7 linked regions of the Danio rerio genome follow. The protein of the gene in region 7 interacts with the protein of the main gene of each other region in a pairwise test. Links are inferred from orthologs where the notes say so. Each region holds a gene or a part of one and is shown on either strand. Other genes may lie near its edges. The genes, in order: rabgef1, wwp2, stam2, smurf1, rnf168, si:ch211-202a12.4 and rnf11b.

Region 1 (4,259 bases), on a different chromosome or scaffold from region 7:
TGTCACAGCCATGCTTCTGATAATCCTAACTGAGCTCAACTTTGTTGCTCAATCCGATGCATATTTGTTCTGTTGTACATTTGATGAAGACAGTTTGTATTGCATTATTGTACTGGCTCTTATTGTGCTGATAATAAACCATATATTTTGCAATCTATTAAAAGCATTTGCCACATATTTTGAACGCTATGAGATTGTAACTTTATAAAAAAAATTTAATGTTTTTGTAATAGTTTTTTTTCTTTCTTTTTTATTATTGGATTCAAAAACAGTCAATAATAGAGTGCAGAAACTTGGAACATTAGAAAAAAATGTTGTTACAATCTGTGTTATACAGATAAGAAAGAAGAAGAAAAAAAAAACTTTTTGACTTTTAAAAGACTTTTTGTTTTTTATGCTCATTAAAAACAAAATATATGACTTATAGTCAATTTAAAAAATAGCCAGAAAATGATTTCCCCCCAAAACTTTACACATAAATTTACAAAAAACTTACCCATTATAATAAAACGATTAACAATGTACTGAATGCAAGATTTAGAGTTGTAATAAAAAAATATTACGCCAAAAGTATTTAAACAAATATCAACATTTGTCTTTATATGGTTCGGTCCAAAATAATTTAACAATTACATTCACAAGAAAAATGCACAATGATTTCTTCCAAGTCACAAAATATACTTTTGTTTTTTTTAAATATCTTATGTACTAATTTTTTTGTCTTTCAAAAACAATTTAGGCCAAACTCAATCCAAACATAATTTTGCACAAACTGACTAAGACATATCAGATATACAGTGAATCAAATATAAAGCCATAAAATTTACACAAAACAAAAAACTTATACAAAATACCTTGCAGACATCACAAAGAAACCATGTAAGGGGTTAAATAAAACCATATTCTTGAAACATATCATACAAATGTCTAGCCTTCTCACCCTTCATTACTTTTTAAAGCTTCTACATGGGTGGCAAACTCCCCTTTAAAGGCAATCAATTGAGGAGCTGTTTTCAAAATTTTGCATTTATGAATGAAGAATTAAGGTAAAATAAGTAAACAAATTGCAGTTAGGTCATCCTCTTTGATGTCCAAATGTACTCCAAATTCCACAATAATTGTTCCAACAAATAGAGGGAAACATTGAAATATATAGTTTTACCCAGTTGTCTGTTTTCAATATCTTGCATATATTTACTCACCAAACTATTACAAGGATAGCATCTATTTGAAATTTTATATGTAATTTATTTTACTTTGTTATTTAGCAAATACTTATGTGGAAGATTCCAAGTAACGTCTCAATTAATGTTATATGTGGACAGCCATTTAAAAGAAGAAGCTGGAATTGTTTTATGGTTACGTTTTCGTGAATGTTGACATTTCGAGATCAGCCCAGCCAGTGTCCCTCCCTCACCAGTCGCCTGGATATGACGTCGTTGTGACCCGGAGAAGAGACCGCTGACGAGGTACACGTCCTCTGTATTAAGATTAAACACTGTATTTTGCCATTCATCTCTTAAATATGTTGTTTTGCCTATTTATAAACGGAAAGTTGCAGAGTTATGCCATATACTGCCAACCAAGAGTTGCGTTTGTTTTTAGCCACGTAGCTGTTTTGCTAGCTTGATGTGTTGACTGCCTGCGGCGGGTTGAATGACATTTTGTTATTTTCGGTAGATAAAATATGCCTTATAAGATTAGTTTCTGCCCGCATGTTAAAATAACCAGACAAATAATTAAGTTACCTCAATTTACTGGATTTAAATGTCAAATAAGACATACAATTCTTAAATCAATATAAGTCAATCCAATATTACGCTGAGTTTAGTGTCATCTAAGTTAACTTTAGCTAATCAAAGTTTGTCCTTAAAGTATTTATTCATTTAAACTATAATAGATGTTTAATTGTTTCATTTTCTTTTTGGTTTGTTCTACGCAATTGGTTGATTGACATCAGATTTATTAATCAAGTTACTAATTTATTTAAGAAATTATTGACTTTAGCTTAATATTAAATAATCAGTAAAACTATTTATTTCCCTCCCATTTACCTCTGAAATATCAATCTTAGTTTTAATATGGTAGTATGAATATCTCATTACTTTCATTTTCATTTGTCATGCTCTTTAAATGACTCATCTCGTTGGCAGCAATGTTGATATCTGTGGTTGCTCTGCAAGTATTGTCTGCAGAGCAAATTGTGTAATGTAACTCCTGTTGACTTGCTTCATGCATGTTTAGTTCACAATGCCAGTGTTCGCAATAGCTTCATTGTACATAACCTTCCAGAATAAACAACTGTGTCAAATTCAGTCGCCAAAGAGATTATAAAGTATAACAGGTTAGACTTTTCAAAAGGGACTCATTGTTAAATACTAGTTAATGCATTAAGTGTCATTATCAGTGAGTAATAGCTACATTTATGAACTAACAATTGGAATCAGAACATTTTCAATCAATCTCAGGCATGTCATAGGCCAGATTAAAGTGAATATATTTGCGTTTGGAAATAATGACCTGTTCAGTCTTCAGCATTTGGGCGCATTGATGAACATCGCAGTAAATACCACAATTTGAATTAGGGTTGCACGATATTGGGAAAACTGACAGTGTTTTGTTTTCCTGTGATATTAAGTTAATTTCACCGAATGAAATGAATAGCTCCATTTGAGAAAAAAAAATTAGATGTTTATCAGGATGACTTTGTAGGGAAGTGTATCTGCATAAAATATAATAAATCAATCACAATAATTGATAAAAACAGTAGAGCAATGATACACATGAAACACAATTGTTGTCTGGGAGACTAGCAGTGTTCAGGTGCAGAAAATGAATAAGCAAATGAAAACGACACTATTGTCTTAATTGTACATAAGCTCAATTCATCTTTCTTAAAGTTAAACACATTTTTTTGTGACTGAATATTTTAATCTCATTTGAAATGGTCATACAGTCTCAGACCTTAAAAAACTATACACTTTTAGGCAACTTTACCTTACAAATAATACAAATGAGAAAAGAAGTATCTTTTGTGTTTTGAGTTTTGCATGCACTAAGCACTTTATTTCCACTTTGTACTAATAAAATAAGATGGGACTGAAAGTATCTAGGCAAGTAATTATTAATATTTGGATATGATACTTCTGATGGACTATATAAACTTTGCAATCACTCCAATAATAACATGTATTCTCAACTGTTACTTGCTTCTGGTCAAATATAACCCTGACTGGACATTACAGATCTTGTGATGTTACTATTGTGGATACATAAATTGGGATATCAGTGCTGAAAAGATACATTGTGCAACCCTAAATTGAATATTCTTTTTTAAATAATTTTTTTATTTATTTATGTATTTATTTTTTTATTGACAGTTAACAAACAAAAGTAACAGAGAAAAAAATATATATATAAATTTATCAGTATAAAATTGATTAAAAGAATAAAAATGAACCACACTATAAGCCTAATATTGTGCAACAAACAGTATATGATGTGCATAAACAATATATGATGTGCATTCATTTAACAAATTAAACATACAAAAGTCAGTACCGAAAGTTGAGATTGGCAGCATGGTGTATTAGGTAAAATTAATAATGATAATAAAAGAAAAAAGAAAAAAAATTAAAAGAGCAAGAGAAAAGGGGATTAAACTGAATATGCTAGGGGGGTGGCACATTCTTTAAACTTGCGGTTTTATGTCTGGAAGAGTTTTATGCTTGTGCTACATCAGGACTAGTACTCATCTGGAAAGTACAGACTAAAAGAGCAAGATTTTCAACCATTCATTCGACAGTACCTGCTTCAAGTTTCAGAGATTTGACATGCTCCATGAATGGCAAATAAATGTTAGAAAACTTGATCACTGGACCTTGACTATATTTATTTTTTTCTAATTTAACAAAAATAAGGCATCTTTAATCTATTGAGTATGGTATGGGGGTTGAGGAGACCTCCACTGCTACAAAACACACCACCTAGCCAATAATGACAGAAAAGCTGCTAATTTAGAAAAATAAACGGGTAACTCACAGTAAGGGAGTAGAACTCCAAACAGGCCATCGGAAAAGGATACATTTGAACAGATGTCATTTCTGAAAATGAATCAAAAACAGACTTCCAAAAAGGAAACAAGGTCCAAAACGTGAACTAGATTTGCAGGTTCAGCCTGACATATGTCACAGTTTGGATCAATAGCTGGGAACATGCAACTCAGTTTACACTTAAACCAGTAAACTCTGTGGACTACT
Region 2 (4,165 bases), on a different chromosome or scaffold from region 7:
CAAGATTAAAAGATCCATGATCTGCCAAATCATCTTAGATCATTTAAGCGAGGTACGAAGAACGGACCTCTGGACTAGCGGAATTTCGGATGAATTTTAGTTTTAGTTCCGTATTGGCTTCCTGAGGGAGAGCGGGAGGTTGCCGCTTGATTACACCCGGTCCACGTACACTGATTGGCTCACAGCTGTTACTGTTTCCTGTTAATTTCCTGGACTATTTATACAACCATTTCACCTCTGTTTGTCACAGCGTCGTTTGTCTTCCTTGTCGTTCGTGGCCCCAGTTCTAGTAAGTCTTGCTACCGAGTTTTTTGATCTTGTTCTTGTATTTTTTTGCTAAAGTCTAACGTTAGTTTGTAAAGTTATTGTTTCTGAGCCTTGTCTCTGTTTTAGTTTCTAGTTTGGTCATTTGTTTGTTACTTTGTATTTTGATCACCTTGTTTGTTGCACTGTAAACAAATCTGCACTTGGATCCGCACCTTTTTGTTTTTGTTCCTGTTTTGATCACGCTAACGTGACAGTTTTTAAATTACTGTGAGGGTTGGGATAGGAATAGAGGGTAATAAAATCAAATTTAATTTGAAAATCAAATTCAATTTATCAGTCATTTATTAAATAACTATTTCTCCTTATGATTAGTGTTTTTACATTACTGTGAAGGTTTTGATAGTTGTAGACGTTAACGAAACACAATTTAACCAGTAATTGAATTATATTTCATCATAATGAATAATATTTATCGCTATAATTAGTGTTTTTACATTACTGTGAGGGTTGGTGTAGTAATAGACATTAATAAAATAAAATTTGAATAATTCAGTAAATAGAGTATTTCTCCTTATAGCTAATTACTGTTTTTACATTACTGTGAGGGTTTTGATAGTTGTAGACATTTAATAAAACACAATTTAATCAGTAATTGGATTATTTCATCATAATGACTTTTTTTATAATACTGTGAGGGATGGGAAAGAAATAGACGTTAATAAAATAAAATTTAATAATTCAGTAAATAATTTGAGTACTTCTCCTCCTTATAATTACTGTTTTACATTACTGTGAAGGTTTTGATAGTTGTAGATGTTAATAAAGCACAATTTGATCAGTAATTGAATAATTCACATAATTATTTCACCATATAATTTGTGTTTTTACATTACTATGAACGTTTTGATAGCTGTAGACGTTAATAAAACACAATTCAATCAGTAATTTAATAAATAACACCATTATTACTCCGCCGCAGCTGTATCCCTTCTAGCAGCAACCTGATGCTACAGAGGATCCGCACCCATGATCCTCCACGGCGAGTCACATGACCATGACATTAAAGCGGAAATGACAGTTAGCGCTCCACAGTCTCACGGCGAATAAAAGGTAGGAATCAAAACATTTCCGATGTGTTTTTATAACCAGAAAGACGGTTACACTACGTATAAACCTATCCGCGTTTATAACGCGCTTTTCCAGGACGATTTCAACTACACCGCGACTTTTTATTCCTGAATGACGAGCGGCTAATCAAACAGCGTCACTGTCTCTCACATCATGCGACATTTAACCACACATTACGACCGGTCACGATTATTAATTCACCTCATATGTTTTTAATTCTGGGTGGACACATATGGTTGGTTATAACCAGCTGTAAACAGCAATTTAGGCTAAATTCTTGGTTTGTTTTTGTCTCAGCTAAACCAGAACCTGCTATATGAAGCTGACAGACGTCGAATATCGCTGTATTATATTATTAAACCAATCACTGTAGCTTATTTAATCTATTTAGGTGATTTCTGTTATTAATTTGATGTTGATTTAACAGTATTAAGCTGTGTGTGTGTGTGTGGTGCACCAGAGTGTTTATGTTGCGTCAGAGTGTTTATGTTGTGCTTTATTATACCCCAATGATTAATATTCAGCATTTCAGTCATAATTCTGATGCTGTTTGTGATTCAGGGCTGTGATGTGATGTGCTGTGACGATGGCAGCTGCCAGTGTGTCTCAGTCTGCCAGCATTCAGGCCATAGAGAAATCACAGCTGACCTTGAAAGGTAAGAAAAGCTGATTTATTTGTGATTAATCTGCTTTAACTTGATTAATAAGGAGATCTGATGAATCTTTTGTGGTTTATCAGCTGCTGTGACGCATCAGTCTGCAGCATCAGACCTCAGCATGTGTTTTTGCAGTGAGCTTTGTGTCCTCTAGAGGGTGATGTGCGCTGAATAATAACTGCATAACTGTGTGTGTGTGTGAGAGATGCTGGATCATGTCAGGACACATTTGCGCACATTTCCTGGTTGATGGAATATTCCTTACGGGAATCCAGATCATAAATGTTTCTGGTGAATTGATGGAGTTGTGCATTCTTGGCGCTTATTAATGTGTCGTAAGTCTGCCTAAAGGGATAGTTCACCCCAAAAGTAAAAGTTTCCTGTTAGTTTACTCACCCACAGACATCTTTGATGGTCTTTGGCGACTCTTTTTACTCATTAAAGAAGACTTTTTCGCTGAATCTGACTCTTGGTGATTTTTATATAATGGCAGTGAATGGTGACTGGTTTTGGAGATTAAAAATGAACACTTACAAACAATTCTAAATCAATAACCGTGGCTCCTGAAGACACGCTGAGGTCTTGTGAAGCAAAGTGATCAATCAGTGTAAGAAATTAAACATTATTTATAAGATTGCTATTATTAACTTTGATCCACAGCCTGGTCAAACAGATATCGGCGCATGTCTGAATGTAGTCCGACTGTTGTCTGTTTGTAATGAGCGGACTACATTCACATGTGCATCGAGACCTGTTTAACCAGACTGTGTCAGGTTTTTGTCCTTAAACTGCTCCTTTTAGTTCTTTACGCTCTTCCAAATCCGTACCAGATCTCATCCAAAGCCTTCTGTTGTGTTTTGATGTGATTTTTGACCATCGTAGCTGTGAGATGAAATGGCTGCTATCATTCAGCGTAGTGATACAGAGCCGTAATTAGGTTGCAGATTATTAAAATGTCTATTTCAGAGGTCGCCACAAAATGAACCCCCAGTTTCAGCATATGTTTTACGCAGTGGATGCCCTTCCAGCTGCAACCCAGTATTGGGAAACACCCATACACTCATTCACACACACTCGTACACTAAGGCCAATTCGGTTCATTCAGTTCCCCTATTGCGGATGTGTATGGGGGAAACAGGAGCACCCGAAGGAAACTAATGCCAACTGACCCAGCTGGGTCTCGAACCAGCGACCTTCTTGCTGTGAGGCCCCAGTGCTAACCACTGAGCCACTGTGCTGCCCTTTTTAATTAATGTTTATGATTGTTTTGTTGATTTCCAACACTAACTGTATTGCACCCAAAACCTGCCGGAAGCACTTTAGCTGTGTGTTTATTTGAAAATAACCGCACACCTCAGAATGCTCATTAGCCAATGAGAATCAAGCATTCAAAATCCCTGGAGTATATGTTATATTTAAGTCTTAAAACTTCGTGTTCCCTCAATGTTCTCTTTCTCACTGAAGTTGTTTTGATTGAAGTGTTCATCGTCTTCTCCTCATCTGCTAGTGTTGTCTGCGAAGCCTCAGTCTCCTAAACTGCCCAATCGTCACTCTCGCCTGAGTTCATTTGTGGAAGTGACCGCCGACGGCCTGAGCAGCGAGACCAAGAAAACGGGCAAACGCAGCGGACACCTCGAGCTGCAGTGGAATGAAGACCTCACACTGTAAGCCTTCACGCGTCACTTTTCATTGAAGAATATAATATTTAAGAAGTGCCATGAAAACTGATTAATTCATCATCATGATGATCATTTTAATAACTCATTTCTAATAATGGATTTATTTTATCTTTGCCATGATGAGAGTAATTAATATTTGACTAGATATTTTTCAAGACACTTCTATACAGCTTAAAGTGACATTTAAAGGCTTAACTAGGTTAATTAGGGTAACTAGGCGAGTTTGGGTAATTTGGAAAATTATTGTATAACGATGGTTTGTTCTGTAGACTATCACGAAAAAAATTAGCTTAAAAGGGCTAATTTTGTTCCTAAAATGGTGTTTAAAAAAAATTAAAACTGGATTTATTCTAGCCGAAATAAAACATAAGACTTTCTCCAGAAGAAAAAATATTATTAGACATACTGTGAAAATTTCCTTGCTCTGTTAAACAA
Region 3 (2,656 bases), on a different chromosome or scaffold from region 7:
TCAAATATTTCCAAAATGATGTTTAACAGAGCAAGGACATTTTCACAGTATATCTGATAACATTTTTTCTTTTGGAGAAAGTCTTTTGGTTTTATTATTAGCCCCTTTAAGCTATATATTTTTTTCAATAGTCTACAGAACAAACTTTCATTATACAATAACCTGCCTAACTATTATAACCTGCTTAGTTAACCTAATTGACCTAGTTAAGCCTTTAAATGTCACTTTAAGCTGTATAGAAGTGTAGTGAAAAATATCTAGTAAAATATTATTTACTGTCATCATGGCAAAGATAAAATAAATTAGTTATTAGAAATGAGTTATTAAAACTATTATGAAATGTGTTGGAAAAAAATCTCTCCGTTAAAACAGAAATTGGGGAAAAATAAACGGGGAGGGAGGCTAATAATTCAGGGGGGCTAATAATTCTGACTTTAACTGTATATAATAAAAATGCATAAATAATGCATCTCCGAATTGAATCAATACAAAAAGCAACCTTTGAAACACAGGTAGTTTTTATTTTCTGAAGACTATAAGAGTTCACCGTGTTACAAAAAGAATTTGAGAAAAAAAAAGAGCAGGCAGGATATAAAGAAATCTTGATGTTACAAAACATTGAGTCCATGAGTACAATAGTTTTTCCCTCTAAATCTCTTAAACATACAGGTTTACAAATATACAGCAGCTCCTGAAATAAGTTCTCCGCATTGGTTTCTACATTTATTTTTGTTTCGTGAAAGAACAAGGCATCTGGTGGTAAATAAATGTTTATAAAGTTAAGGTGCGGTACAGCCAGATATTTAACATCTAATATACAACATCTGTTTATGAAAAGAGACATTTTTTATTTATATTTTACTACATTAATCCAAAATGAATGAGAATGAAAGCTGACTATATGGACTATAAAGGAATCAAACATTTTCCCATTTCAGGCAAGAAGAAATGGGTGAGAAAGCACATACGTAAGAATCGGAAAACGACAATTAATTCATTTCCGGGCTGAATAAAATTGTAGACCAGATGAATTACACCGTATGCATTTTTACACGCTTAAATTAAGTCAAACAACAGCAAACACCCACAATGCAAACACAAGCAGTACTTGCATATCATAAATATCATTATACAGCGAAACATATGGATTGACCATAAAGGGATTGCATTTGTGACCACCGTCAGTTCTTAACCAAAGCAATTGATGAAATATTACATGAAACATCGAACTCTAAAACCGTCGTTCTGATTGTAGGAGTTTACACAAGTGCTCTGTGTATTGGCACAGAAATTCATTCCAGATTTGGTGATCACGTATAATCTTCTTCACACATTTGTCCTCTCCATAATGCATGGTGATATTTATTTATAAAACTCTCACATTTGCTATCGAAGAGCAAGAAATTAAAGTTTAGGATTGGCTGACCCAGAAACAAAGGAAAAATGGCAACAATTAATCAAAAGTCTTAAAGATGTACGCACTTTACCATTATATCTTAATTCGCAATCAGAGAAAGAGTCACATATGCTGGTGTTTATCACAAGATGGTGAAAATGCTGTCTATGATTATTGTGACCGATTCCATCAACAGCCCTAAACCGCTTCATGAGTTAGTAAATGGGAGGGGAAAAAAATAAATGCATTTTCGAGAGGATTACATGTCTGTCCGCTGACGCCATATGTCAGTAAATCTTTGCATACCCCTTGACATCAATATGCATGAGAGAGGAAAAATACCCTCGGCCTCATTTCAACGTTTGGAATTTAAACTTGGAAATTTATGGCTGAATAGTCAAACATGTAGCCTTATAAAAGGGGCTGCTGGTAGAAAGCCGCTTGTTGCTGCTGAGGGGCAGGTTGGGCCGGAGCTGACATTGGATAGGAGGTGGGAGGCAGACCAGGATTAGCGTTCTGATAGGCTGACATGTCCATAGCCACACCCATCTGTGGCGGGTAAGGGGTGGGGCCTCCAGGGGCTTGGTTTACATATGGTGCATTCATTGGGCCACTGTAATAAATAAACAATAAGTGGTTATTGAGGTTTTACCACATTCAGAATCATAGAACTGACCAGTTCTCTAGTGTTTTAATAAAGGAACACTCCACTGTTTTTGGAAATAGTTGGATTTTACAAGTCAAATAGAGCTAAACAATTGAGTTTTACTATTTTTAAATCACTTTAGTTGAAATCTGTATCTGGCAAGAGCACTTTTAGCTTAGCTTAGCATAAATCATTTAATTGGATTAGACCATTAGCATCATGTTAAAAAAAAAAGACTTGAATTTCGGTAAATTTTCCAATGTAAACTTGACTTTTGTGGAGTTCAATCATGTACGAAGACCAATGGAAAATTAAAAGTTGCTATTTTCTAGGTCGAAATAACTAGGAACTATACTCATATTCCAGCATAATAATCAAGGAACTTTGCTGTAGGTACAATAATATTACACAGCACTTGAAAATAGTCCCCAGCTAGATAACTAGGTAACAGCACTGTGTAATATCATTGTGCCGGCTGCATGGCAGCAAATGTCTTGATTATTACACCAGAGTGAGACTATAGTTCCTACCCATAACTTCCTAAATGCAGGTGAAAACTTTGTTATAATGCAAATCAACACACAAAGTCAATTGGTAGGTTATGACTCATAATT
Region 4 (4,180 bases), on a different chromosome or scaffold from region 7:
ACCTTACATAATTAAACTGATCAGTCAATACATTCTAATGTTTACATTTATGTCAATGTTTCATCTTCAGATGTACCTCATTAAGCCACGTTGCATCCCACACAATGAACTGATTTAATTAATTGCATTAATATGTATTTGTTTCCATTTTAATGAGTCTTCAGATCAAATACATTTCATTATTATGCCAAGAGTACAATGGCTCTCTGCTCATTAAAGTGGTGACGGATTGAAAAAGGCCAGTGTGTGGCCTGCCACCCTCATTAGCCTGCTGTTTACGTGGATTGGCTTTTCTTCTGCACAACACTATTAAATGGCTCTATTGTTTCCAGTTGCTAAAGTCCTCCAATCCAATCCCTTCCACTATTGCTCAGGCTAACCTTATTTGCTTCTACAACGCGACAATTATCAAGCCGCAATTAATGCAATCACAATCATGCAAATGTAATGGAAATCATCTGCATCCATCATCTCATTATTTATTACTCAAACTCAAAACAACAACCTCTAATGCTAATCAGGTCACTTAAAATGTTATGGATGCTGCGAAAATGACAAACAAATTCATCAATCTGCCCCAGATCCATGCAGTCATCTATCTATCTATCTATCTATCTATCTATCTATCTATCTATCTATCTATCTATCTATCTATCTATCTATCTATCTATCTATCTATCTATCTATCTATCTATCTATCTATCTATCTCTACATTTATCCATCCATCCATCCTTTCATCCATCCTTTCATCCATCCATCCATCCATCCATCCATCCATCCATCCATCCATCCATCTATGCATCTATCCATCCATCCATGCATCTATTCATCCATCCATGCATCTATCTATCTATCTATCTATCTATCTATCTATCTATCTATCTATCTATCTATCTATCTATCTATCTATCTATCTATCTATCTATCTATCTATCTATCTATCTATCTATCTATCTATCTATCTATCTATCTATCCATCCATCCATATCTATCTATCTATCTATCTATCTATCTATCTATCTATCTATCTATCTATCTATCTATCTATCTATCTATCTATCTATCTATCTATCTATCTATCTATCTATCTATCTATCTATCCTGTATTTATTTTATTAATAAATCCTTTTTATTGTTGTTTAGATCTATCTAATCTTAATAACATTTGGTCTACTTAAAAAATACATCAATTCACTTCAGCTGACGTGGCTGGAAAAACACGCAAAGCACGAAATTTCATAGCATAATTCGAAATCAGGACACACATGACTAATATCCTTTTTTACATCACACAACACAAACGGACTTCCAGCGCCAGGAAGAAGAGCGCGCGCACGCCCAGCCGCGGGTACGTGCACGTACAGCTGTACTAACGTGATGTCAGAACGCCGTTGAGCTCAAAAAATGTTAGCCTGTGTTGTTAAGTCTGAAAGCTACAGGGGATTTGCCAGACGGAAATAATACCGTTTTATCGCCGAGAAACACATGCACAGGCCACACGATCGCGTCGCGTGTTTTTATACGTTTTTATATCCTCGTGAAGCGAGCGTCTTGGGTTTATCCTGAGAGAAAGTTCGTTGGTTTTTTTGTGGGAGTGATGTCGAATCCTGGGACTCGAAGGAACGGGTCAAGCATCAAAATCCGACTGACAGGTAAAACACCCTCTAATACGCTAATTTATCGCTTTAATGTACTAATTTGTTGTTAGTTATCATTTTATACGTTTGGTTAGCTTATAACTGTGTGTCGGTCGCAAATGTGTGTAAAACGCTAAGCGAGGATCCTGCTAGCTTCTGCTGAGGCGAGTTGCTGCAGCCCTGTCTCTTCATGCTAAACGCATGCTAACACGAGAAGCATCCCTTTTTTATTTAATAAACAGCACAATAGTCAGTGGACCTGCTTTATTTGCACTTGTGTGAACGTTATCAGCCGAAAGCAGCTCCCCGTGCACAGTTTGTTAGGTTGGATTAGTCATAAATCAGCTGAGTATAAACCGGATGAGGCAGAGGCAGCTGTTTTCTCGGTTTCCCCTCATCTGGACGCCAGTGTCTTCGTTGTAAATTAAGATTTTAATACGTGACAGACTGTTCATTAATGTTTTGCTTATTGCGCTGTGCTTGCTTTCGGAAGTAAGCTAACTATGGGGTTGATCTTTATGTGATAGTGTACTGTTTCACAATCCACAGATGGGTTTTTTGGGGGAGGATTTTTTTCCTTACTCTTTTGAAACCGCTCTTTGCTTGGAAACGAACAGGATATGATAGATGCATACTGATCTCATTGATATCATCACAGACATAGTGACAGTGCCCTGGAGGAGTGCTTTTACAGTTGCCTTTTTATTTTTTTAAACCAGATCTGATGTTGACTTATCAGTGCCCTTTAAAGCGTTTGTGGAATAGGAAGACTGGTAAACGCCAAATGACAAGGTTATGTGGTTTGCATTTTATTATAGACTCAGTAGAGACCAGATTAAACGTTTTATTCTTTATTCTTGTATATTAGATTTTAAAAGTGAAGTTTCATTTGTAAATGTTAATGCCCTTCATTTATATTGAGCAGTGTGTTTGTTACAGTGGTTTGTTGATTTTGGATGTAGTAATGATGTGTACCCTTTGTGAAGCTGCTTTATTATTATAATTATTAACGAAGTAAACTTGAATTGAACCGTTTTTATCTTTTGTTTACAGAGTACAACAGTTCATTGTCAATGTTAGCTCAGAGACAGCTTTAAAATATACAACTTTTGCAGTAGTTTGGTAAATGCTGAAATGAACGTTAATGCTCTGCTGCGGTTCAGTCATTTATTTTCATATTTGTCTTCATAATGGTATGAAAAACTAAACGTTTTGGCACATTACCATTAACACAAACACACAACAAAAGGAAACAAGCAAAAATGTGATTATCATGATAAGAAAGTGTTTTTAAAATGCAAATGCTTGTGGTGTTTTAGTCAAATATAACCACATCAGATATAAATTATAAATGAAGAAAGTTTATTTCACATTAGATGATATCTTTCATGATATAGTTTTATTATGAGGGTAGTTATTCCAGAGAATTTACTAAAAGGTGTGCAATAAATAAGCTTTGTGAAATAACTAAGCTTAAATATTTAAGGAAAGAAGATGACTCAATCTTGTTAGATTATTTTTGTATTTTATTTTAACTTTACTATAAATATTGTAAACCAAATATAACTTTTAATGAACGAATTACACTCTCACATTTTCACAGTTTTATGTGGACAGACCTTATTATTATAAACATTTCACACATCATCTTCTGATACAAAACTATCCTATGGAAAAAAAAAAAACTTTATCCCTATAACTGCCTGCTCTACCACACGGTTGACCATCTTTTTACTGTTTTAAATAATCACCGTTAAAGTCATTTTAAAGAGAGTTTTAAAGAATGGTTAACACAATACAGCATTGTTGGTTTACAAAGAAAAAAAGAAAATCCTGTCGCACCACTTCGGCATACATCAAAAAAATTCATGTGGTATTCAAAAATGTTTATTTTTTTATATTTTAAAATATAAAATAGTCTTAGACTTTATACTTTCATATTTTTCATAGCATATGAATTAATTTCTGTAGTTTTACTATAAATTAACATTTCTACCATTTTTGTACATGTTAATATTGTAGAAATTATGGGATTATGGTAAGTTTATGGGGGAAAAAATTGATTTAGTGTTTTAACTAGCGACATTACGAGTTAAGAAATGCAATCCAAAAATATTTTTCTTGGTGGGCGGTTAAAAGGTTAAGGAAATATCAAACTGTTTTTTTTTTATTCCTTTAAAAATGCAAAATAAAAACAATTCAAGAGTTCAGATGCTAAAACCTCTATGCGCTGTCTGAAATGTCCATCAAAAATAAACTTTTATTTTTCAACCTCCTTTGTTTATGTTGAATTATTTTACTTTAAAGACCATAAAAATGACTTATTTGCTATAAATGTGTTTATTACTAAACTTACACACAGGAGCCTGAAAAAAATTCTCAGTTTGAAAGAAAATTTCAGATGGCATTTTCTAGGTTCTTGCATTTGAACTCCTCAATTACAATTCATGGATAAATACTGAAACTAAGTGATCAGTTCTCGTTGAAAAAATTAAGCGATTGGCAACACTGCCAGTCTCCCATGTAGTGTCTTTCTTGGCCT
Region 5 (4,208 bases), on a different chromosome or scaffold from region 7:
TGTTTTTATTGACACTGAAAAAAAATGATGTGAGGCTTTTTAAAACTTTGTTTTATTTTTTATAAACTTAGCACCACTTTTTTGACACCAGTTGAAATATATTGATATCGGTTCCTCGATAAAATGAAAACTACATACAACATAATTAACCAATTTGTAAAAATGCAAAAGAATTAAAATAGGCTGCACTTGTCCGCACATTAACATTTGAGCAGGGTAGATTTATTTTTGGTAGCCCGACTGAAAAACATAATAGCCTCTGGACATGTGGCTAGCAGTTTTGCGAGCCATGAAATTGGATGAGCTTGATAAACTCTGTATTTAGAAATGAATTACAATACTTCACAGACTGTCAAGGTACAGCAGGTTTCACATGGTAAAAATATGTAATTTAGCTCAAAAATGAGTTTAATATATATTTAAATTTAGTTTCTTTTTCACACTTCAGATTAGAGCTGCACGATACTATAATATGTGATATCGTATTGAGATATTTTTCATATTATAACTAGCTTATGTCTGTCACAATATTTTTGTGTGTGTGTGTATGGTACGATATATAGCACCAACATTTATATGATAAACAATAGTATTGTGACGTTTAGACCATTTTGACACTGTAATATCATCACAATGCACGTACACTCATTTTATTCTCAAGGATATTTCATTTAAATATAGTCATTTTAACAATTTAGTAATTAGGCATTGAATCAGAATGTGAAACTGAATATTCTAAACAAATAAATAATAATAATAGATGTTAAGAAAAAAAATTGCAAGGTAGAAAGATCTAGAAAAAAGAAGCATCTATTTTCAGTCATCAGTAGGCCCACACGGAATCTGCGCGCGCAGAATTCCGCAGATTTTTCGCGGAATTCCACAGATTTCTGTAGATTTTTAGCCCATCATTAAGTCTGTTTATTTACTTAAGTAAATGTGTGTAAATCTAATTTTTTTTTTAAACTAATTACAGTAATATTATTGACTAATATGAAAATGTTCATTTGATTTATGTACAATACAGTCTGTAAAGTAATATTTTCTGTCTTTTAGTAGATATATTATATCTAGTAGATATATTATATATGAGAGACTTGCTTTGTTTACCAAATAAAGTGAATCTAATTAGATTTGCAATTTAAACATTAAATAAAAGTTAAAAAGGTATTACTTTTTATTTAACTAATTAAGGTTTTAGTTACGATACTCTCAAAACAATTCCGCTGAAATTCACAGATTTTTACCAAAATTCTCCGCAGAGATAGCAAAAAACGTCCGCAGATTCCGTCTGGCCCTGATCATCAGGCACCCATGGAAGTATACAAAAGTAATTTATAGTAAATACTATAGTGTTTACCATACCAACACTGACACCTCCAATAGAGATGGAGAAATCGCACAATCAGCTAGAAATGTTGCTTGACTTTTATGTATGGGCAATATATATCGCATCAACAAATATGATTGAGGTCATGTCCATGTATTGTGCAGTAAGTCAATATAGTGATTATTGTGACAGGCCTAAACTAGCTTGCAAAATTTTATTTTATCAGCAATTAAAATATATATTTATTTAGGTTATGGTCTGGTCATACTAAAATAAGCAGGTAATAGATAATTTCCTGAGGTAATTAAATTTTAAAAAAAGATATATAACTCTAAATACTGTGCAGCCCTACTTCAGATTGTGACTAATTAAATTAATTATTTTTTAATTAATATGTATGGACACAATATTTTTAACATTTATATACAAAACCCACTAAAATGTCATTCAGCGTGACAAGAATTTAAAAAACAAAGTAAAAAGTAATCAACAAACAAACAAAATTCCAAAAATTATATTTCATATCACCAGGATCAACCCATTTGTCAGTAAGTTTTTAATGTTTTCAAATACTATGAGTTTTTTTTTTCTGTATTTTCACTATTACAGATCAGAAGTTTTACATTTTTACATAAACATATCCATTACGCTGAATGACGATTTTTAATACAAATTTATATATTTTTTTGTCTTTAAAGTTATTTGAAATAACTCAGTTAATACTTTGCCATTATTTAAAATGCTTTTACACATAAAAGTCCTTTTTAAATATAACTTGATGCCAACAGCAATAAGCGGAAGTCTTATTTTTGACCCACACATGTTTTATGAAATGAATATAGAGATTGAAAATTGTAATAAACCTAATGAATACTCAAACATTTAAACAGTTTTCATAAAAAAATTATGTAAACCTAAGTATTAAACAGTAAGGTAGTTAGTTATGAACTAGTTAACTAGACAGTAAACTAGTTAAACTAGCAATTACATTTTTTTCAACGAACACATTCATATTACTGGCATAATTAATATAATTACGTCAAATCTGATGTGATTTTAATGTTTACATCGACTAGTTGACAGTTCTCAGACATGATTAACGTGTCATTAACGTTAAACTCTGCAGTTTTGACCAAACGACGTGCCTTTGATATATTAAGGTAATTTATATCATCAGTTTACATCTTAAGTTAATTTTTTTTCAAGTTATAACACAAATTCTAATCGGACGGCTAGCAAGTTAGCAACTTTCTAGCAGTGACCAAACTGCTGTTTCTGTAGAGATGACGGTGAGGCTAAACTGAAGGATTGCTTTTGTTAGTACAATACGTAGTTTAATGAATGGTTTTGTAATGTGATCAATTAGAAATTTTACATCTTACACACTTACGCGCTTTCTTGCTCACAAGGCCACAAAATCCCGGGAATATTTTGCGCCCTACTGCCCGCGCGTGTGAAACCATGGGCGGCAACGACAAGACAGTGTTTCAAAATAAAAGCACTGCTGTTTCATTTGGATTAGATCAGTAGAAGAACATACAATACAGCCAACCTTGTTTGAGGACTTTGATTAAGGACTTGACACTCATCTTGGACTAAATGACTAAAGACCCCTGGATTGTTGCTGTTTGATTCATGACATTTGTTGTTATTGTTTTTCAAGCATTCAATAAAAAAAAACATACAATACAGCCGGTAGAAGAACATACAATAAATGGTTAAATAATAACAAGCCTTCGCTCCGTATTTGGTATGGCTTCATGACGCATTACCTGAAAGATTAAAAACGTTTTACAGCCATATATTAAAAGTTTCAGTAGTATAAAAAGTATTAAAAAAAACTTTATAACAGCATGAAACGCAGACAATATAAACGAGCTGATTTAAATTTTGATTGTAATTATAGGTAGTATTTCAAACACTAATCTTATTTTTCTTTAATATTATTAAAGAATTTCTTAAGGCTACATTGCGTAAGGCCACATTTCCCTGCTGAATTTTTTTTTTGTTTTTGTTTGTTTAAACTAGCTTGGTTAGTTGGTTTTAGGGTGGTTATAGCCATCTCTGGCCTGGAATGAACAGCTAAAACCAGCTTTACCAGCCTGCTTTAAGCTGGACGACGTAGCTGGTTTTGGCTAGTCTTCCAGCCTGACCAACTAAGACCAGATCCTGTAAACCCCTGTAAAACCAGGCTGGTCGAATTTGAGGTAAAATTCATTTTACATTTGCACATTCTCCTTTTCAGACAGGTATTCGTTAGAGATTCTAAATAAATAATTCATATTAGCAGCCAATGAATATCTAAATACAACATTGTTCATGACCAATTAAAAAGTGCTTGTTGTTTTGAAGTCATGCATGCTGTTTTTAACCAAATATTCAAAGTACAATGGTAAACGATATAAGGACCATGTCAACAGATGCAGATATAACCAGTAAGCAAGGTAAGCAGTCGCTTAGGGCCCCAGGGAGTCTTGCGGCCCACAATTTTTATAAGTTATATACAACATAATTTTCCATCATATTTTGTAGGGATGTCCCGATTAGGGTTTTTGCCCTCAAGTCCGAGTCATTTGATTAATAGTAGGCTATCTACCGATACCAAAACCCTATCCAAAAACACATAATAAATACTTTAAAAAAGAATAAAGAAGTGAAGAAGCAGATCAAGGATGTTCCTTATTTTTTATTTAATTCACCTTATTTTAACATTCAACAACTCTGTTAACAAACAGAGCACTTCTGTGAGGTAGCTTGAACATCCAAGTAATAACTTAAATTCTTTACTTGTGGACTTTAGAGCAACAGTAAACATATATAAAAAAATCAAATAAAACGAATTGCTTCTCAATTTAAAATACCCAACAAGCAATACTTA
Region 6 (4,188 bases), on a different chromosome or scaffold from region 7:
TCAATGGTGTCACTTGGCTCGACCTCAAGGGTGATGGTCTTACCAGTAAGGGTCTTGACAAAGATCTGCATCTGTAAACAAATTATCAAAAGAAGATTAGCAATGACTAAAATTTGTACAGATTTATACGACTGATCTAAGATTTTACCTTAAATCTTCAAAAAGAAATCTTTTTGGAACACCACATGTTAGAGTTGTCGCGATACCATTAATTCACGTTATAATACTATACCAGCTGAAGTATCACGATACCATATAGTAATGCCATACTGTAATTCATAACTCAAATTATAAGGAAAATTGTCATAAATACTATATTTTATATGTTATAATAGGTCTACTTGAGTTTCATTAAATGAATGATGATTAAATGAATTTAATTTCAATTAAAGAAATAAGTATTATTTGCACACTATTTCACCTAAAATTTATTTATACTTTGTTTATTTTGTAGATAACTGATCAACAAAAAATACATTAGAATAAAGATACAAATAAACAAAATGGAATTTGTTACGAAAAGAGCATTTTTAAAAAAAAAATTATGAAAGTGATGAAAAATATAAGTGGTCAAAAGTTGTTCAAATATTACTATTTTGGGTTTTTCCATTTATTTTTTTATTTTTTCAGCCTTATCAGGGAACAATCCAAAGTAATTAAAAATATTTTTTTAAGACATTAAGTTGTTTTTAAGAGATTGCTGCGGTTGCTGTAGCTATTAAATCACATTGCCAGAAACAGAATGAACCGCTTCAGGTGTGCGTTTGAAATGTTAAAAAACATGCAACCTTAAGGGGCTCCACAGACTATTCAAATAAAATGGTCTATTGATGCACATATGTGTGAGCATTAATCACTTTCACAAGCAACACTACATAATATAGATAGACCGGTAATGAAGATACTACCGTTTACAAACTACAGTGGCACTGCCAGTATTTTGAAGCCACAGTATCGTGATGCTACCATAGTACCGGTAAACCGTGCAACCCTCCTACCACATATAGTATCTGTCAATCTGAGAGCATAGGCTTAATTCAGGGCAGGGCTAATGTGTTAGCACATCTATTACAATACAGAATGATTTTAGCTCATCCTTTCACAAACACAAGTTCTAAATCTTTCTCTGACCCCCACTAAATGTTTTATTAATCTGACGATAATTTAAAACTTCTCACTTTGAGACTTCCATGACGATGCATCAAGTTTATCATGTGACATTGCAGCCCTGAAGATTTATGTATATAATTTTCTCACTTATTTTGTCATTTTATGCAAACATTGGTTAACATCCTAAATATATTAGAAAATATCATATTCTGATAAATGAATATTATGATACAAACGCATCCATTTCCATTTCACAGATTAATAATGATCATGGGTGCCACCATGTTAGTGGAGGGATGCTGGATTTACAACATGTTAATTTATCAAATTACATGAAAGTGCCTGTTTAACTGGAAGAATAGAGTAAATGTTAGTTACCCTAACAGTTTGAACAAGGACATTGTCACATTGTGACAAATTATTATTAGCATATTAGCAAATTATTAAAATCTTTATTTTATGCCAATATCAATCCAGATGCTTCAAGCTTAAGTTTTTCTATAGAGCACAACCCTGTAGGGGTGATTTCCTCTTACCTGAGACAATAACTTAAGGGTGTCTCCTAGGTAATAGAAATCATTACGTGGACATGCATGCCTTGTAAAAGCTACTCTACATTAACCCAGAATCAGCTTTACAGAAAATAGTTAAAATTGAAACGGGGGTTATATCTATCTATCTATCTATCTATCTATCTATCTATCTATCTATCTATATCTGTGCACTCAAAATTCCGCAAATTTAAGTCCATGATTAATTCTATTTATTTACTAGAGTAAATGTGGGTAAATCTATATTTATTTACTTTTTAATAACAGTAATATTATTGACTTGTATGAAAATGTTCATCTGATTTATATACGATGCAGTTTGTACAGTGATTCTTTGTCTTTTAGTAGATACATTATATTAGACTTGCTTTGTTTACCAAATAAAGTGAATCTAATTGGATTTGCATTTTAAACATTAAATGAAAGTTTAAAAGATATTATTTTTAAATTCATATATTAAGGTTTTAGTTATGATACTCCCAAAATAATTCCGCAGAAATCCGCAGATTTTTAGCAAAATTCTACGCAAAAATAGCAAAAAACGCCCGCAGATTCCGTCTGGTCCTACATATTAAAAATGTTTGTTTTTTAGAAATATAATAAAAGTTGAGTTATGAACTTGTAATTTCATTCATACACTATATCGAAATAGTTATTTATGTTAACATTACCTCCTAAATTACATAAAACAATAAGTTACATAATTAAAAAATTGCACAATGTCATCATTTAAAAACGGTAATGCGCAACAACAAACATGGCCGCTGTACAGTAATATCCGGGTTCTTTGTTCATACAGCGCCATGACTCAGCATAATTTAATCTGACAAACTGCGACATTGAACAATTTAACAATTAAAAAGCAAACGTATCAATTTGGGAAAATAACATCGTATGAGTATTACTCTAGTCAAAGCATTAAGGACTGTAAAATTACTTCTTTACATTTAGTTAGGATGTCGAGGATATGAGCGCCAAAATCAATACAATAAACAGGAATGACGAAATATCAATAATAGTATACCTAAAGGTCTTTATGAAGGTTCTAAATCGAACTGGAATAGCTTTCTTACCTTATAAATATCGCTGAAACTGCTTCTGAAAGTGAATAAGTTCTTCTCTTCTTCGCAGAAAAATCAGCCGATGAAGCGAGTGAAACTGTTTTTATACAAACCCAACAGCGTGACGTTCTCATGTCACGTGAGCGGGTCTTTTAGTAGTCAAAACCTTTTTTTCGTTTGAAAAATTAAAATAAATGTTAAAACTATGGAATTATTTGATTTTTTAAAAATAAATACAAGTTATGTATCAATATTTGAAACGTATAATTTAATCATAAATTACCCATAAAGGAAGTTTCCACAATGTGCTGGAATGGGCTGGACTTGTAGGACAACCTGCAGGCAGTGATTGGCTGGTTTAGTGTTTGTTCGCTTTGCTATTGGTGATTCAGACAAGACCAGGCAAAGAGAAGAACTGACATACTGTATAAACAAAAATAGAACAGTCTGGAAAGATACATCGTATTACAGGACCAGAGATTATACAGCATTATAAAATATGAATTATAGTTAGTTGCGTGGGTTCCAGTGGATGTTTTGGTTGCTTAAAAGAAACTGATTGTGTATGGTAATAATGAACCCTGATATTAACTTCAGGGTACAGCTGAGTAAAGTGAGCAGGCAGAAGAATGGGAGAACAAAAAAAAAAACATTTATAAGGATACATTTGCGTGGAAAACAGAGCAAACAATAAAAATGTGATAATTGCAAGATTATACATTGGTCATACAGCGCAAAAAAGTTTGTGTAAAAAATTAAACAAGTTACTGTCATAAAAATGCTTAATAACAAATTACATAATTCAAGAGAGAATAAATAGAATTATTCTGAAAAATAACTGAAAGAAATCTGAGTAAAGTGTTAATCACACATTAGAATTACCACATTAAAGAGATCATTAAGGTGTCATCTGGATTGTTGAATGTCTCCGGACTGGAAAATTAGGTTTAAAAGTGGTTACAGTTTTTTAAGCCCCCAACCAAGTTTCATACTCCAGTCCTATAGGTGGCAGAAATGCACTTTCTCAACCACCAACAAAAAAAAATACATGATGGATTCCAATCTGAAGGGCTCATTCCTATGCCCTAATCCCTTCAGAGGGTTCCTCTAAAGAGATTAGCGCATAGGGATGAGTCCTTTCGAATTGAGTGTAGTGTGGAAAACCACACAGCTTTCCTGCTCAAAAGATAATTTCCCACCAAAGTATAATTAAATGATAATTGACACCAAGCAGCTTCCCTGCTCAAAGGATAATTTCCCAAAATGTTCATCGGTTTTATTTTTCAAACTCATTTATTCCTAGGGGGGCTTTTGATCACTTCAGTTTGAATGACACTTCAATATGGCGGCCATAATTTTATCACTACGAAGTGCCCTTCAGAGAGCAATGTATCTCGTTTAGAATGCCCATGTCTCTCCTATCAGTTACACATGGTTAGAATATATTTAACCCATAAATACTGCAC
Region 7 (4,131 bases):
TATTTTTTAATCGTGTTTCAAATGTATGAATTGGATTAGTGTATTTTTAAATCATGTTTTGAATTTACAAATTGGATTTGTGTGTTTTTAAATCGTATTTGGAATTCATATATTGTGTATTTTTGAACCGTGTTTCAAACTTACAAATTGGACATGTGTTTTTGAATCATGTTTCGAATGTATGAATTGTGTATTCTTAAACTAAGTTTCTAACTTACGAATTGGATTTGTGTATTTTTACATCATGTTGCAAATGTATGAGTTGGATTAGTGTATTTTTAAATCATATTTGGAATTCATATATTGTGTATTTTTAAACCGTGTTTCATTTCTTTCTTGTCGGCTTAGTCCCTTTATTAATCTGGGGTCGCACAGCAGAATGAATCGCCAACTTATCCAGCAAGTTTTTACGCCTCGGATACCCTTCCAGCCACAACCCATCTCTGGGAAACATCCACACACACATTCACACACACACACTCATACACTACGGACAATTTAGACTACCCAATTCACCTGTACCGCATGTCTTTGGACTGTGGGGGAAACCGGAGCACCCGGAGGAAACCCACGCGAACGCAGGGAGAACATGCAAACTCCACACAGAAACGGAGCCGAGGCTCAAACCAGCGACCCAGCAACCTTCTTGCTGTGAGGCGACAGCACTCCCTTCTGCGCCACTGCTTCGCCTGAACCGTGTTTCAAACTTACAAATTGGATATGTGTATTTTTGAATCATGTTTTGAATGTATGAATTGGACAACAATGTTAGCACAACTGATAAATGAAAGTAGTCCAGCACTTAACGTCCCACCTTCAGCTGAAAAAAACTGAAACTAAGACTGAAGAGAATGTTCCTTTTGCTTAATAAGATTATATTATGTCACATCAGTTGTGAGGAAATTACTGTGTGTGCTTTCAAGATGCATACAAGATTATCTGTGCTTCGGTCAACGGCTCACTATTATTTGTTATAAATGTAAAGTTGGTTTTGTATTTGCACATTATTTCAGTGACAACTTACTTGTGACACACTTCTTATAATGTTTACTATGGTACTTTGAACATTGGGTCTGAAATCACACGCAAGTATGACTTTAAACAACATTATCACTACTTATTTGACTCTGAACAATGTTGTACTTCAATAGTCATTGGCTGCTAATATAATTTCACTATTTAGGATTTGCAAAGACTAATTTTCAGAAATTATATTATTAATGCGAAAGTCTGAATGTCTAAATATTAAACCAATTTTACCTCAATCAGTTTGTTGGAGAGTTCTTGTAAAACAGATAAGGTCAACACAACAAGAGGATGTAACAGCCACCACAGTTGCAAACATTTCAGATCAGACATCTTCTGAGTCATGTTGCTTCTTACAAAACACAGTGACTGGACATAAAACGTTCACTTACGGTGCTACACAAGTTTATCTGCTTCGACATGGTTTGTTTCATCCAACAAAAAGACCCTGGCCAACCCAGTTCTTCCATTTGAACTATGTTTTGTAAAGCATGACATCACTTTAAAATATCATGATCTCATGACTTAGACCTCAACTGATTCCACATGTCCGTAAAATGGGGAAATCCCCGAGTGCAAGGCTTCCCAACACTTCTGACTAAAGGACAATGTAGAGCAGCCCATTGTCATATTATAAGCATTTTTAAGCTCTCTTCCCGGAAGTTTGCAAAAATATATATATAGTGAGGTAGTAACATTGTGTATGTGTACAACATCAGTATTAGTAATATTTAAATTAAATACATATAGTTTGCCCTTACAGTCTGTGAAGAGAAGAAAACAGAATATTTTAAAAGGTTTGTGTAACACTCGAGCAAGGAGAATAACATCGACATGACGTCACAACTGCAAACAAGAATCGTCACAACCAGAATGGTTACCTTTATCGCAATAAAGCTGCTGCTGGTGAATCAACACGCCACGGAGGCGGCAGTAAAGATGAAATAACAGACTGTCCATCTGTCTGGATGGTCTGACGTGAACTGCAGGCCAAGTTTACGTCGAACAAAGAGGATTTAGTATGGCACACACTCTAGGGCGAAATTAAACAGATGGAGCTCCTGCGGGAGCTTGCTGTTGGTGATATATTTACGTCTATTTGCTTGATATTATGAATTGCGAGTGTTCATGTTATGATTGAAGCAGGAGGGTGGACACAAGGCACGTTATATTAGTCAAAAGCAAAGTTTCTTTGTGTATTCTAATGGTTTTTATAAGCTTACCTGATACGGAGGTGGCGGTTCCTGATCTGGATCGTTGGCGTCACCGAAACTGGCCCTGTCTGACTGGGATTCGTGGAGCAAGGAGATATCATCCGAAGTGGGAGATTTCAGACAATTCCCCATCTCCTTTCCAAACTCCTTGTTGTCTAAATGTTGAAATCCTTCCTATCCCTTCCGCCCTTAATCACTCCAACCAGACTTCTGTCCCTTTAAACAGGACGACAAAACCCTCTATCATTCATTTACAACGATCCGATCACCATGAGAGATCCTGACGGAGAAAAACAAACCATTGTCGACACAAAGAAGCCTGGAAAAAGTGTCATACGCGGATATGAAACGATGTTTGTATAAATTCACACAGTCTAAACCTGTGAAACACGTCTTTTTGATTTAAAGCCTCTTTATGTAATGCTGTCCCTTTCTCTTCGTCTTAATAGTAAACACACTGGTTAGCCTTCCAGGAGATAATTTCCACAATATCAAATATGCGCTCGCTCTCAATGGCGACTCAGGCAATGTTGCCTTTCAGGCAGTCATTCTAAGTCCCGCCTCCGCACAGAATCCACCAATCAGTAGGCGTCTTCAGTAGTAAGGGCGCTATTAGTGGATACTCGTCACCCAATTAGATTGCAGACTTACAACACCAACAACAGGGGTTTAAAGCCTTTAAACTTGACCGCATTAGGCCGATTTAAAGGCATAGTTCACTTCAATTGTAAAATTGTCAGTTTGAAAAATAAAACGCACGACTTTCCCCTTTCCCCTGAAGAACAGATTGGAGGAATAACTAAACTGAGTGACTACTACATTATAACCAAATCGATGTCATGATGATTAAAGTGCAATTCGGAGGTAAAAATCCATCCAAGTTAATCCGGAGAAAAAGGGGTCGTCTTTCATATCTTCATTGCTTTTCTTGTTTAAATACCATATGGGAATTCGTATTTCTCAGTTTCCGTTTTTTTTTCCTGCTAGCTACTGATTGTTTCAGTGATTTTTACTGAAATTTCTTAAATGTAAAATAAACATGTTGTCATTCAGAGCATACAATGACAATCGTTCAAAATTACAGATATGCCATGTCAGAATTACTAGCCCCCTTATGTATATTTTCCCCCAATTTCTGTTTATCAGAGTTTTTTTCAACATTTCTAAACACGATAGTTTTAATAACTTATCTTTAATAACATGACAGTATAATGATGACCGTAAATAATGTTTTACTAGATATTTTTCAAGAAACTAGTATTCAGATTAAAGTGACATTTAAAGGCTTAACTAGGTTAATTAGGTTAACTAGGCAGGATAGGTTAATTAGGCAAGTTATTGTATAACGATGGTTTGTTCTGTAGACTATCAAAAAAAAAAAATAGCTTAAAAGGGCCAGTAATTATGACCTTAAAATGGTTTTTAAAAAACTAAAAACTGCTTTTATTCTAGTCTAAATAAAACAAATAAGATTTTTACCAGAAGAAAAAATATTATCAGACATACTGTTAAAATCTACTTGCTCTGTTAAACATAATTTCAGAAAAATTTAAAAAAAGAAAAAAAAATCTAAATTCTGACTTTAACTGTATGTGTTTATATATTTTATTTAGACAATACCATTCCAATGTTTTAACTTCAGAGGAATAAGAATAATTGGTGGATATAGATGTTTTATAACATTTTATTTCACTCTGAATGGTACTATTTTTAGTTGACACTTTATCAAATTGAAAGCGACTAATTACTGTCAAGACTATAACTCTTTAACTAATTTCTGGGTAAACTCTTTAAAAAAGCCCCCTTAAAGCTCAAAAAAGAAAGTCAGTTGGCATTTCTGTGTTGAGTTTGCATGTTCTCACATATTTGGCAAAAAAAAAAAAAGACAAAA

Evidence for each region.
Region 1: the proteins of rnf11b (region 7) and rabgef1 interact in binary tests that used the Homo sapiens proteins (3 or more experiments, as listed by UniProt). The link is inferred for Danio rerio from reciprocal best matches to the Homo sapiens genes RNF11 and RABGEF1.
Region 2: the proteins of rnf11b (region 7) and wwp2 interact in binary tests that used the Homo sapiens proteins (3 or more experiments, as listed by UniProt). The link is inferred for Danio rerio from reciprocal best matches to the Homo sapiens genes RNF11 and WWP2.
Region 3: the proteins of rnf11b (region 7) and stam2 interact in binary tests that used the Homo sapiens proteins (3 or more experiments, as listed by UniProt). The link is inferred for Danio rerio from reciprocal best matches to the Homo sapiens genes RNF11 and STAM2.
Region 4: the proteins of rnf11b (region 7) and smurf1 interact in binary tests that used the Homo sapiens proteins (3 or more experiments, as listed by UniProt). The link is inferred for Danio rerio from reciprocal best matches to the Homo sapiens genes RNF11 and SMURF1.
Region 5: the proteins of rnf11b (region 7) and rnf168 interact in binary tests that used the Homo sapiens proteins (3 or more experiments, as listed by UniProt). The link is inferred for Danio rerio from reciprocal best matches to the Homo sapiens genes RNF11 and RNF168.
Region 6: the proteins of rnf11b (region 7) and si:ch211-202a12.4 interact in a two-hybrid assay, tested with the Homo sapiens proteins (3 studies listed by BioGRID and IntAct, with this or other methods). The link is inferred for Danio rerio from reciprocal best matches to the Homo sapiens genes RNF11 and UBC.

The regions. Positions count from the first base shown.
Region 1 is NC_133185.1:37,879,354-37,883,612, reverse strand, and holds the start of rabgef1 (rab5 GDP/GTP exchange factor), read left to right. Parts: upstream 1-1,459; 5' UTR 1,460-1,469; intron 1,470-4,259. UniProt on the Homo sapiens protein: Rab effector protein acting as linker between gamma-adaptin, RAB4A or RAB5A. Involved in endocytic membrane fusion and membrane trafficking of recycling endosomes. Stimulates nucleotide exchange on RAB5A. Can act as a ubiquitin ligase.
Region 2 is NC_133200.1:37,280,467-37,284,631, forward strand, and holds the start of wwp2 (NEDD4-like E3 ubiquitin-protein ligase WWP2), read left to right. Parts: upstream 1-1,365; 5' UTR 1,366-1,377; intron 1,378-1,956; 5' UTR 1,957-1,981; coding exon 1,982-2,051; intron 2,052-3,558; coding exon 3,559-3,715; intron 3,716-4,165. UniProt on the Homo sapiens protein: E3 ubiquitin-protein ligase which accepts ubiquitin from an E2 ubiquitin-conjugating enzyme in the form of a thioester and then directly transfers the ubiquitin to targeted substrates.
Region 3 is NC_133184.1:39,775,757-39,778,412, reverse strand, and holds the end of stam2 (signal transducing adapter molecule 2), read right to left. Parts: intron 2,010-2,656; coding exon 1,808-2,009; 3' UTR 501-1,807; downstream 1-500.
Region 4 is NC_133178.1:39,720,208-39,724,387, reverse strand, and holds the start of smurf1 (E3 ubiquitin-protein ligase SMURF1), read left to right. Parts: upstream 1-1,380; 5' UTR 1,381-1,598; coding exon 1,599-1,653; intron 1,654-4,180. UniProt on the Homo sapiens protein: E3 ubiquitin-protein ligase that acts as a negative regulator of BMP signaling pathway. Mediates ubiquitination and degradation of SMAD1 and SMAD5, 2 receptor-regulated SMADs specific for the BMP pathway.
Region 5 is NC_133190.1:4,313,128-4,317,335, forward strand, and holds the start of rnf168 (E3 ubiquitin-protein ligase rnf168), read right to left. Parts: upstream 2,801-4,208; 5' UTR 2,721-2,800; intron 1-2,720. UniProt on the Homo sapiens protein: E3 ubiquitin-protein ligase required for accumulation of repair proteins to sites of DNA damage. Acts with UBE2N/UBC13 to amplify the RNF8-dependent histone ubiquitination.
Region 6 is NC_133180.1:42,862,212-42,866,399, reverse strand, and holds the start of si:ch211-202a12.4 (polyubiquitin-C), read right to left. Parts: upstream 2,801-4,188; 5' UTR 2,735-2,800; intron 72-2,734; coding exon 1-71.
Region 7 is NC_133183.1:18,241,609-18,245,739, forward strand, and holds the start of rnf11b (RING finger protein 11b), read right to left. Parts: upstream 2,801-4,131; 5' UTR 2,373-2,800; coding exon 2,250-2,372; intron 1-2,249. UniProt on the Homo sapiens protein: Essential component of a ubiquitin-editing protein complex, comprising also TNFAIP3, ITCH and TAX1BP1, that ensures the transient nature of inflammatory signaling pathways. Promotes the association of TNFAIP3 to RIPK1 after TNF stimulation.